Ovis aries: one gene and its partners. The protein of the gene in region 3 purifies or fractionates together with the protein of the main gene of each other region. This does not show direct contact. Links are inferred from orthologs where the notes say so. Each region holds a gene or a part of one and is shown on either strand. Other genes may lie near its edges.

The links.
Region 1: the proteins of INTS6 (region 3) and POLR2C purify together in Homo sapiens (affinity purification with mass spectrometry; 3 studies listed by BioGRID and IntAct, with this or other methods). This does not show direct contact. The link is inferred for Ovis aries from reciprocal best matches to the Homo sapiens genes INTS6 and POLR2C.
Region 2: the proteins of INTS6 (region 3) and INTS11 purify together in Homo sapiens (affinity purification with mass spectrometry; 3 studies listed by BioGRID, with this or other methods). This does not show direct contact. The link is inferred for Ovis aries from reciprocal best matches to the Homo sapiens genes INTS6 and INTS11.

What each region holds. Positions count from the first base shown.
Region 1 is NC_056067.1:25,049,226-25,053,596, forward strand, and holds the start of POLR2C (DNA-directed RNA polymerase II subunit RPB3), read left to right. Parts: upstream 1-1,561; 5' UTR 1,562-1,599; coding exon 1,600-1,685; intron 1,686-1,848; coding exon 1,849-1,898; intron 1,899-4,313; coding exon 4,314-4,371. UniProt on the Homo sapiens protein: Core component of RNA polymerase II (Pol II), a DNA-dependent RNA polymerase which synthesizes mRNA precursors and many functional non-coding RNAs using the four ribonucleoside triphosphates as substrates.
Region 2 is NC_056065.1:50,520,795-50,524,939, forward strand, and holds the start of INTS11 (integrator complex subunit 11), read left to right. Parts: upstream 1-1,252; 5' UTR 1,253-1,374; coding exon 1,375-1,402; intron 1,403-2,299; coding exon 2,300-2,397; intron 2,398-2,811; coding exon 2,812-2,885; intron 2,886-3,174; coding exon 3,175-3,403; intron 3,404-4,145.
Region 3 is NC_056063.1:21,145,122-21,148,761, reverse strand, and holds part of INTS6 (integrator complex subunit 6), read left to right. Parts: intron 1-2,250; coding exon 2,251-2,622; intron 2,623-3,640. UniProt on the Homo sapiens protein: Component of the integrator complex, a multiprotein complex that terminates RNA polymerase II (Pol II) transcription in the promoter-proximal region of genes.

The DNA of each region.
Region 1 (4,371 bases), on a different chromosome or scaffold from region 3:
GCTGTGGTGATATGTCTCACAGTTCTAGAAGCGGGAAGTCCAAGGTCAAGGTGCCAGCTGACTTGATTCTTGGCGCTTTCTTCCTGACACACACGGCCACCTTCTCCCTGCATTCTCGCACAACAGAGAGAGCATGCCAGTGTGCTCTGCGCTCTTCCTGGTTTTGTTAGAGCACTAATCTCCTGAGAGTTCTATCCTCAGGGCCTCGTAAAGACCCCCTTTCCAAGTATCCTCACGTGAGAAGTTGGGGCTTCACCATTTTGGTGCATGCAGCATCCAACAGCCATCTGTCTTCTGCGCTGCGGTCTCCTACCTGAGTGGACTGAATGACGATGGGAGTAACGGCTAGTGGGAATTTCCTGTCTCACGCACGTTCCTCTGGGCCCTTTCTGCACCTGATTCTTTTATCTTGACATCCTGTCAAGTTGCCTGCAGTAGCTATCATATTTTGTTCCATTCCCTCTTTTATCCTATATAGCATCCATCTCACACTCAACAGACAACCTTCTTAATTTACTGAGATGATACAGGCTTTAGTGCAAGGGCCCCCTTAATGCTCTTCTCTGTCTCAGATGTCACTCCTTGCTAAAGCAAACGCCTCTGTCCCCTCTGATGATTCTTTCTCTGCCCCCTACATGTTGTTCCCTGCCAAGTTCTATTTTAGGACTTCTCTGTATAATCTGCTGCCACCTGGGAATTCCCTGGCAGTCCAATGATTAGGACTTTACTTCATTTCAGGGGACATGGATGTGGCACAACCAAAAGCAAAAAAAAGACCCATCAGACCTCTTTGCAGGCTGTTTAAGACACTGCCTACTATGCACCTACATGTGCCCTTCCCATAGAATTTAAATTATCTGTAGGTTTCTTATAGTACCTAACACAATGTTTAATGCTATGGTAAATAGTTGTAAATGCTATATAAATAGTGCAGCAAATTTGTTTTATTTTTGGAACTTTATGGAATTTTATCTTCAATTGGTTGGATTCAAAAACCCTTGCATATGGAGGACCAACTGTACTTTTCTTCTTCCATAAATTTACACACTTCATTCTTTTAAAAAACGTTACAGTATTCCTGTGTTTGTATATTTAACCAGGTCTCTGTCAATGGGCATCTTTTATTTATCTTTTGCCAGAAACTGCTGCAGTGAACTGGAGAAGGAAATGGCAACCCACTCCAGTGTTCTTGCCTGAGAATCCCAGGGGCGGCGGAGCCTGGTGGGCTGCCTAGTCTATGGGGTCGCACAGAGTCGGACACGGCTGAAGCGACTTAGCAGCAGCAGCAGCTGCAGTGAACGTCCCTGTACATGTTTGCTTACACCTGCAAATGTTTCTGCAGTATGGATTCTTAGAAGTGTTACTGTGGAATCAAGGGCGTGTGCATGCTTTGCCAAATCGCCCTCTGAATGGTTGAACGTGGTGCCTCTTCAAGAAGGTGGGAGGGGTGGGTGGAAAACTTCAGGCCTCCGAGCAGCAGGCGGCGCTGTGAGCGCCCGTCCGCGCCAGTGGCGAGGCCCCGCTGACGGACTTCCGCTGGAGGAGTTGGCGCAGGCCCGGCAGAGCTGACAACAGAGGTCGAGCGAGCGGTGGGGCGCGATGCCGTACGCCAACCAGCCCACAGTGCGGATCACGGAGCTCACCGACGAGAATGTCAAGTTCATCATCGAGAACACGGACCTGGCGTAAGACTGCTGGGGGAGAGGTTGGCGGTTCTGGAGAGCCGGGGTCCCAGCCTGCGGGACGTCGTGTCTTTTCAAAACTGGCTTCCGCTTTGGGCGCGGTGGGGCGCGAGCCCGGCCTGTCGAGGTTGCGGTGCCCACACGCCGCTTGGTTTTCATTCCTCAGGGTGGCAAATTCTATCCGGAGGGTCTTCATCGCTGAGGTGCCCATAATAGGTAAGCGACCCCAGTCTCGTTGCCAGGGCTACCAGGCCTCTCTCCCCCCACCCCACTCCTCCCCTTGCCTTGCAGCTCCTGCCCCCAGCCTTGGTTTGGGCGAGGGATTGGGGGCGCTAAGAGGACAGTCGTGCTGGAGACTTGATCGGGCCCTTTGCCCTTGGCCCAGGCCCACTCTGGCCACCTCTCTGGCTCCCACGGGCTATTTAGTTCCATTCTTTTCCGTGCGTTGGTGACGCTCATGGGCTCAGGAGTCTGTGGACTGGGACTCAAACTGTTTTCACTTACTATCGCTGCGAAACTTGGGCAAGCTATTAAACTCTGTTGCAGTCCCCTCTCTAATGTTCGGACGCTAATAGCAGTTGTCAGGGCGACGTTAACGATTAAGGGGAATAATCTCTGTGCCTTGTGTTCAGTGAGTCTCCATTGCCCGGTAATGTGAATCTGTTCCGTCAGCTGCATCTCGGGAGCATATAAGCTCCAGGCAGTGGTGCTAGGCACTGGAAACGCAGAGCTGTGAAGTACAGGGTTCTCTAGGAGTTCATCTTCAGTTGCTCAGTTGTGTTCGACTCTTTGCGACCCCATTGGCTGTAGGCTCCTCTGTCCATGGGATTCTCCAGGCAAGAATACTGGAGTGGGCAGCCATTTCCTTCTCTAGGGGATCTTCCCAATCCAGGGATCAGACCCGCTTCTCCTGCATTTGCAGGCAGATTCTTCTAGGGTTTAAGGAGAACCGTAGCTGCAGTGGGTTTGACGCTTCAAGGAGAAAGGATCTGTTTCTGCTTTTGTTCCAGCCACTCTTCACTGGGTGTTCTGCCTGTCTACAGATATACTACAAATATTTTCCGAGTGTTAACTCTGAGTTTGGTTTAGGAAAAAGAGATGTAAGCCATAGTTACCGCATCAAGTGTGCAAATTCCTAAGGAGATGAACGGGCCAGTTGGTTGGTAAGCAGAGGACATTGTAGTTTTTCCACCATTACCACCCCCCGGAGACTTTTTCAACTCAGAGCTTGGAGTGCTGGTTCTCCTTCTCTGCCTAATCACCCCGTGGGGTCTCAGGACCTTAGTTTCATCATGAGTAAAGTGAGGCAGTTGTGCTTTAGGGTGCAGCCCTGACATTCAAGCGCCACTTTTCCCATGTAGCATGAAGCACCTCTTGCAATCCAGACCCCAGCTAGGAATACAGAAATTAAGACATCTGAAGACCCAAAGAAATTTTGAAGCTTGAGGTGGAAGCAAGATGCACACAGATATAACGCAATTTGACAAGTGTCTTAAGAGAAGTGTGGACAGAGTTCCAGGAGAGAGTAGCTTCCTCCCGGGAGAGAGTATTCATCTCTGTATCACAGAGGGTGGGCAAGGCCTGGTTTATAGGAAGCTCACAGGATTTTAAATCCTGCACAGGAGAGGTTAAAGGCACGCCAGTGGGAGGAAAGGCAGAGACAGAAAAGCTTGGCTCTTAGTCCTTGCTTGGCTCAGGTTTAGGAAGCAGAAGGACAAGCAGGTGGGGGTCTGGTCGTGTCTGGTCCTCTGTTCCTAGTGTCTGTGCCCCTCATTGAACAGTTGGTCTCACTGCCTTTTGACTTCTGAATTTAATTGTTTATGTACACATATTTATGAATGAATGAGTAAATGTGTTTAAATCAACTATGTGTGACACTGCAGTTCTCCTCCTCGCTCATGGCTGGTAGGGATTAGTATGCCCTACCCATTAAAGGAATTGGGTAAACATGATTTGGTTGAATGATAATAAAGTATTAATTTGGGTAATCTAGTCATTATATCACAAAAGGAGATGTGGGCCATAAGTCTATGTTACTTCTCTGAGGTTTGTCCAACTTTCAAGTGCCCAAATAGCTTGTGTTCTTACTGGTGTTGGCATGAGTAGCAGATTTAAGTGCTTCCCACAGAAATACTCCGCTCTGAGAAACACGCTCCCATTCTCGTGGTATCTTTAGGTCAGTGTTTTTGGGGTAATACAGGGAACTGTCTGCATCATAACTGCCTGAGCAGGGAAGTGCGGTGCAGTGTGTGTGGTTCTTATTAAAATGCAGCTTCTGGGCCCCACTCCAGAGCTGTGGAATCAGTCTCTGGCAGCCTGACTCGGCCTCTGCAATTTAGTAAGCACTAGATGATTTGGAGGGGCTCAGATGCTAAAGAATCTGCCTCAGTGCAGGAAGCCCCTAGGGTTCAATCCCTGGATCGGGAAGATTCTCTGAGAAGAGCATGGTAATCCACTCCAGAATTCTTGCCTGGAGAATCCCATGGACAGAGGAGCCTGGCAGGCTGCAGTGCATGGGATTGCAAAGAGTCAGACATGACTGAGCAACAAACACTTTCAGATGATTTTTAAATCTGGAAAATTTGGTGGCTAATCTGCCTGTCTGCTTTTTCTGCTTCCTTCATTCTTTAGCAATTGACTGGGTTCAGATTGATGCCAATTCCTCCGTCCTTCATGACGAGTTCATTGC
Region 2 (4,145 bases), on a different chromosome or scaffold from region 3:
GGGGACTAGGCTGTGTCTCATCTCATTGTCCAGGACAAGCTCTCACCCTTTGGGCACAGGGGTTCCTGGGCCCTCAATGCTGGAAGGCTTGTAAGAGCCTGCATGAGAGGAGGCCATTTGAGCTGTGGTGAGAGCCCAGCCAAGAGAGCACATGTGGGTCCCTTCCATACCATGGGCAAGTCATGCACTGACCTAAGATCTTGTCCCACAGCTTTAGGGAAAATGGGCCAGCACACCCTGCCCTGCCCATCACCCAGGTTGCTGGGAGCCTCTGATGGGGCCCAGTGGGTGCTGAGGCCCTGCAGGCCCTCTGCCTTTGCCACATGCCTGGCACTAGGTGGAGGGCCCGGTGGTGAGCTCACTCCATCTTCAGGTGTGGGGGACAGCAGTGCCTGGCCTCAGGAAGAAGACAATGGGAGGCTTCCAGCATACTCCTCCCCTCTCTCAGGGCCTCAGTGTCCTGTCCACCAGACAGATGGCCTTTGAGGCCCTCAGGGCTACCTTCCTGGTCACCAGCCATCCTATGGGCCTGGCCTTCCTGCCTGGAACCTGAGCCAGCAGTCAACGGGAGGTGCCAGCAGCCTTTCAGAGCTTGGAAACAACAGGAAGGGCAGTGGCGGCGCAGCGGGGTCGGGCAGGCTGCCAGCTCCGGGGAGGTGATGCAGGGAATCGCCAAGGCTCCCCCAAGGGCAGCCCATGGCCCCAAGGTCAGGGCTCATCCTGAAACTGACGGCAAGCTGAAGGTCCCTAGGAAAAGAGGGCTGCCCTCCGGCACCCCAGGCCCAGCGGGTGGGAGCGGGGAAATCCCGGAAATCTCGCCTGAGAAGGGGGCTCCAGGTGGCGCCAGGCTGGGACCCAGGACTCGGGTAGGGTGGGGCCCCTGTCCTGCGCGGGTCCTGCTCCAGCTAAGTCCCTAGGGAGGGGACAGGGGCTCGGGGTCCGGGCCAGCGCTGGAGCCGGGTCCTCGGCCGCCTCCTCCCACGCCTGGGGGCTCCCGCTCCGACCCCTCGGCAAGGCCCAGGCCCAGCTCGGTTGGGCTGGGATTCCCCGCGCCGCCTTGAGCCCGTCGCGCCCCACTCACCTGCGCCTCCGCTGCTCACCTGTGCCGCCACAGCAGCCACGGGGCGGGCTGCCCGGGCGTCGGCCACAGCCCTACCGCCCCGTCGCCCGGGACTGGCTGCTGGCCGCCCAATCAGAAAGCACGTTGCGCGGGCCAGCGTTTCCGTCCGGCACGCCGGAAGTTGGGGCCGTTGGGAATGCGCCTGCGCCGTGCATAGCCGCGAGTCAGGCGCGCGTGGCCGGGACCGGGTCGCGGGCCCCGGGGTCTCGTGGGACCGGGCTGATCCTGCCCGCTCGCTTGGCTTGCCCAGCAGGATGCCCGAGATCAGGGTCACGCCCCTGGGTGAGTGCTGGGCGGCGCAAGGAGCGCCCGAGGAAGGCTGGTAGGGGGCTCGGAGGTCCGGGGACCCCGGGACGCGTCTTCCTCGCCGCGCGGCCCCCCGCCCAGCACCAGTGCTTAGTGCACCTTCCTCCTGCCTCTGCGTTCGCGCACTCGCTGCCTTCCACCTGTTCCATATGTCTCGAGCCCCGCTTCCCTGCAGCCTCCGTTTACCCGTGGGCCGTTCACCCCACGTCAGTCAGACTTTCTTTTGCTTGACCGGCGCAGCGTTAAAAACAAAAACCAACGTCTCTCCCGCCCCCAGCTTGCCCTTTGCGGAAGATATAAGTGCATAGTTTAAAAACAGTACAGCAGTGCGAAGGAGGTACAGCAGGTCACTCAGAATGGGAACAGCCGGGGTCTCTGTGCACAGGTGCCAGGGGCTTTCCGGAAACCTGCCCCCCTGCCACGGCCATATATCCGCAGCGTCTTCTAGCAGGGTTGTTCCCCGCAGCTCTACATGCTCTCTTCTATGGTGCATTCTCAGAATAGCCCACCCAGCCTCCCGCTGCAGTGGTCTTCCCCTGGCCGTCCAGGGCACAGCACGCATCCCGCCCCGCCATAGGTGTCCTCACACCTCTCCTACCTGTTGACTCCGGTTCCCCTCTGGTTGCTTCAGCTCCATGCTCTCCTCACACCTGGTTCCTCTCCAGGGGCCTCTGCAGGGTTCTTCCAGCCTGTTTCCCACTGTGGCATCTTTCTCACCACTCACTTTTGCCAGCCTTTTTCCCCTATGACATCTTTCTCACCGCGCACCCTTGAACAGTCCTGTCTTTTTACTGCTTCTTTTACCCCAAATCCTCACTGGGCAGTGGGAGAGAGGGGGGCATGGCTGTCCCTCCGACTGGTCCTCCCATACAGGGGCTGGCCAGGATGTGGGCCGAAGCTGCATTTTGGTGTCCATTGCGGGCAAGAACGTCATGCTGGACTGCGGGATGCACATGGGCTTCAGCGACGATGTGAGTCTCAAGGGTGGGCGGCCTGGCATCCAGCCTGCACCTCGGCGTCATCACCGAGGGACCTGGGCCTCGGAGTCGCAGGCTTTGACTATGGAGGAGGAACGGGGGCAAGTGGGCACTGGTAGGAGGGCAGCCCCCACCGTCACCCAACAAGTGGAGCACTTGGGTCAGACTGTACTGGAGCCAGGGCACGGCTGTGGGGTCTCAGCTCTCAGGTACTGGCTCAGCAGCCTGACTTCTGCCCTACATGCTCAGGGGTTCTGAGCAGTCGGTGGCCTCAGTGGGCCTGCAGGGTGTGGGTGTCAGGCTCAACTGCATCCTGACCCAGGGGCCATCCCCACAGCCCTGGCTGCCCCACAGTCACCTGAGCCCTGGGCAGGCGGCATCCTGACACTTTTGCTTCTCCCCCCACAGAGGCGCTTCCCCGACTTTTCCTACATCACCCGCAGTGGCCGACTGACCGACTTTCTGGACTGTGTGATCATCAGGTGGGCGCCTTCCCCACCCACAGACCCAGCCACCCACCCAAGTGGCATACTGGTTCTTGTTGCCCTGAGCCCCTTCCTGTTCCTTCCTGGAATGTGAAGCTGACCCCATAGTAACTGCCTGCTGGTGGCATCGCTAGACACTTGGGCCTGAGTCCCTTTTGCCCTCTCCCTCTCCCATGTTCAGGGCCATGTCTGACACATAGCAGGCCCTCAGTGAGCAGAGGAATGGGGGTAGGGTTGCTGGGTGGAGGGTTGGGGGGCATCCAGCTGACTGGTGCTGCGCCTGCAGCCACTTCCACCTGGACCACTGCGGGGCACTCCCCTACTTCAGTGAGATGGTGGGCTACGATGGGCCCATCTACATGACCCAGCCCACCCAGGCCATCTGCCCCATCCTGCTGGAGGACTACCGCAAGATCGCCGTGGACAAGAAGGGCGAGGCCAACTTCTTCACGTCCCAGATGATCAAGGACTGCATGAAGAAAGTGGTGGCTGTCCACCTCCACCAGACGGTGCAGGTCAGCTCCCCACCCCCGCCCCCAACTCACTCTGCTGCCATCCCAGGGACCCTTGGAGGCAGAAGGTGAGCGTGGGGCCCAGCTCAGATCCAGTACTGAGCAGGGCTCCTGCCACTCCCTGGCTCTGCCTGAGTGTGTGGAAGATGCCAAAGAGGGCCAGTGTGCCATCTGAGTACACGGGAGCAGGCCGGGCAGGTCAGAGACCAGAGTGTGGGCTCATTGCAGTGGACTGACTCAGGGTGGAGGGGTAAGACTTGAGGCAGGCGAGTGACATCAAATGTAAAATTTATCACAAGGATCATGGATTTGTCTGTTTCTTCTCAAGAGTCTAGGTTTTGCTTTTTTTCATGAGTCTGACATTTGGGGTCATCTTATTTTTCAGATTGAACCCTTTGTTGAGTTGAATCATTCATTGAGTTGTATCCTCAGTAATGCTTTATCTTCGAGTCTGCCTTTCTGGCGAAAGTTCGCCCCTCCCACACCTTGAATCCTTGCCCTTCTTAGTACTTTTATCCTTTCTGCAGCGTGTTTTATTTTTGTTTTTTGGCTGCACTGTGTAGCATGTGGTATCTTAGTTTCTTGACCAAGGATCAAACCTGCTGCCCTTGCAGTGGAAGTGCAGAGTCTTAACCACTGGACCACTAGGGAAGTCCCTCTGCATCATATTTTAAATGTGACTCTTTTCCACGGCTTGGCTTTAATACAACCTGATGGCCTATCCTATAGGAGAGGTGTGCACTCC
Region 3 (3,640 bases):
TGCTTAATAGCTATCATGATTTGAAATATCATTTGCAAATCTTTAGCGTTTAGAAATGACAGTTTTTAAAGGGGCATTATCAATACCCACAGAAAGATGGTTTTCAATTTGTTTAATTCGGCAACTAATTATTAAATGAGATGCTTAATTTAGACAGGGTTAGGCATTGAGATGTAGCTATAAACAGATAATAGTGATCTCTGCCTTCATTTATAATGAGGGAAGAAAGTCATCACACATTTCCTTAGAAGTGTGATGAATATTACAAAAAGGGAAGTCAAGTATACTTGTTGTGGAAGTATTTGGCAAGAGGATTTAACTTAGTCTGTGGGGTCAAGGACGGAGGAGCCTGGTAGGCTGCAGTCCATGGGGTCGCTAGGAGTCGTACATGACTGAGCGACTTCACTTTCGCTCAGTAAAAAATACTCCACACAGTAATGTCAGCCTGGTTTTCATGAAATGCCAATCAGATCAGATCAGATCACTACCTCTTTCAATGGATTTTCACTGTCCTTAGAATTAAGTCTAGAATTTTTTACGGTGGCTTCTAAGACCCTCTATGATCTAGACTCTGCATGTTTATCTTTTGGTTCTTACCTTACCTCATTCCCAGCAGCCCGCAACTATACCAGAATGCTTCAGTTACCTTAACGCCCTGCTCCTCGCAGTATGTTTCTGAGTATACTCTTCCTATAAGAGTACTATTACTGTAACATAGTAAATGCACAGCTTCAGTTTACTAATTTCTATTTCATCCATCAAGTGTTGGCTTAAACAGAACCTCCTCAGTAAACTGCCTTGTCCCCACTGCTGCTGCTACTGCTGTTAAGTCGCTTCAGTTGTGTCCAACTCTGTGCAACCCCAGAGATGGCAGCCCACCAGGCTCCCCAGTCCCTGGGATTCTCCAGGCAAGAACACTGGAGTGGGTTGTCATTTCCTTCTCCAATGCATGAAAGTGAAAAGTTGGTTCAGTCGCTAAGTCATGTGGAATATTATTGGGGAAGAATGAGAATGGGGTAATTAATTATAGGTGGTGATCATTCATGGGTAAGAACATCTTAACTGGAGAGAAGCCAAATATGATCTCTCCTGATGGGATTCCACAGTACTACATTTGAAGTATCTGCCACCCAAAATACTGAATGAACATCAATCTGATCGAGCCTCTGTAGCTACAGGGAAATAATTAGCAAAATCCAGATTGTGGTAAATTACAGGACAGAGAATCTGGTGTGGATATATTTTTCCAGGAAAAGAAAACAGAAAAAAGAGAGGTACAGAAGGATTTTATAGATGAAAAGAGGAAGAGTTTTCACAAGAGTGCATGGAGAAATGCTCTTGAAGTGGCATTGGAAAGAAAAGGGACTAGTGACTCCACCTCCTTATTTTAAGTCCATGGAGAGAGTTTGAGAGCAAAGGCTTTCTTTGCAGGAGAGTTGGATTTCAATTAAAACAGGAGTTGCTGTTGAGATTATTCATTGAAGTTTGCAAATCATGGAGTAAGATTTAGGATGGAGGAAGGGAGTCAGAAGTTCAGAGAATTTTTGTGGGAGGGAGTTTAAATTTTGAATAGTAAGTCAATGAATTCAGCTGGTTCCTGGTGGTTTGGTGAGCAATCAGGGAACTGAGAATTCAGCTGTTTTCTCTGGGGAGCAAATACAATAATCTGATATTAAGTGGCAAGCTTGCAAGCCTTTTAAGTCTAGTCTAGTGAGCTGAAGTGGAACCAGCTACTCTTCATTGCTCAAGTAGTGAAGACCAAGTGGATGGTTATAAGGAAAGGCGCTCTGGAGGTTTGGGGCCATGTTGCTGCAGAATACTGATTAGGTTAAACTTCCTGTGTTCACTTTTGCCTGTAAATAGTAACTGTATAAGGCAGAGGTAAGTTGGAATGAACTAGTACTCTCAATAAAGGATAACCATGATAATCTTGATCATATGTGTCCCTAAAGCAGTGAAAACCACTTATTCAATAAAATCGCCATAGAAAAAAGCAGAAAACTAAAAGTTTTTTTAAACTGACTTTAATTTTTTTCCCCCAGGCAAAAATTGTACAGATTTTGTAAATACTGTGAATGTTTCACATTGAAATACACAGTATATATGGCAAAGCTTAAGAACCATATCACATTGTTAATTTCCGAGAGTCAAGGAAATCAGTTGTGATTTGCTACAATATTGTTTCTTGGACGTTTTCTTTACTGTGTGCTTTGAAATTGGCTCTCATCTTTCTTTTTTCCTTATTTTTAGTTTCTGAAGCCACTAATGATTCGACAATGGATGATGTGGTTGAAAACCATGTTGCAGACCAACTGTCATCAGATACTACACCAAATGCTATGGAAGCTGAATTTTCAGGATCTTCTCCAGCCAACTTACTGGAACGACCAACCAATCATACAGAGGCTCTTGGTCACGACCACTTAGGAACTAATGACCTCACTGTTGGTGGATTTTTAGAAAATCACGAGGAGCCCAGAGATAAAGAACAGTGTCCTGAAGAGAATATACCAGCATCTTCACTCAACAAAGGAAAGAAATTGATGCATTGCAGAAGCCATGAAGAGGTCAACACTGAACTAAAAGCACAAATAATGAAAGAGATCCGAAAGCCAGGAAGAAGTATGTATAATGAGAGACAGACAGCAGATTTCATTTTTGTATATGCTTTAAGAAAAAAGTCAAATTAACTAAAGCATAGATCTGATTTTAGAACAGTCTTAAGAACAACATATCAGCTGTATAAGATCCCATTCTTTATTCAGCCAACACTTAGCGAGTATCTGCTATATCCAAAGTACTGTGTTAGGTGTGGTAAATAAGGAGGGATGAGAGTAGAATAGGGGAATACACAGATAAAAATTAAACATGGTTCCTCCCATGACAGGAACTGATAGTCTTGAACATTCTACCAACCAGCAACTGGAAGTTTAAGGTAACAGAAAAAACCCCCAAAGATGCAGTGAATATTAAATGACTTACATTTGTAAAGTTCTTGGCACAGTACCTACCCACCATCTTAACTTTTGAGATTTAAACTGTAGTAGTGACAGGGATGCGTTTAGGCCGAAAAATGAAAATTATGAAGCTGTCTGTTACATGAGTAGAGAAGAACTTCGTGAGATAAAGTTTCAATATTCTTATTGATATACATTCAGAAGATTTGGACAGATCACCTGCTATGATGGTGCCCATGGGTGGTCCAGAAGTGGGTAAGACTCAGTACTGGTCATTTTAGGAGCTTATAGTCCTTGACAGAGGACTATTAAGTTTTATGTGAAAACTTGAAATTGAGACAGCACTCTTTTTTTCCTCTATTTTATCCACCCCCTATGTTAGCTGTAACTTAGAGTTTGTTATAAGGTTGAATTTTTGTAAAGGCCACTTCTTATTTTTCAGTGGCACTACCACTGTTTACTCATTCTTCTAAGCTGTATGTTTTGATACATACGTGAGTTCCCTAATGAGAACTTCTACCAAGAAAAGGCAGTGTTTGACAAGTTATTTTATCTTTGTTGATATCTGATAAAATGTATGTATTATAAAATCTCTAATGAATGGTGAAATTTTTAGGTAAACTATTTTTGGTTTTGTCTTAATCTTGATGTGTAGTAAACTGTAATAGAAAAATATTGAATAA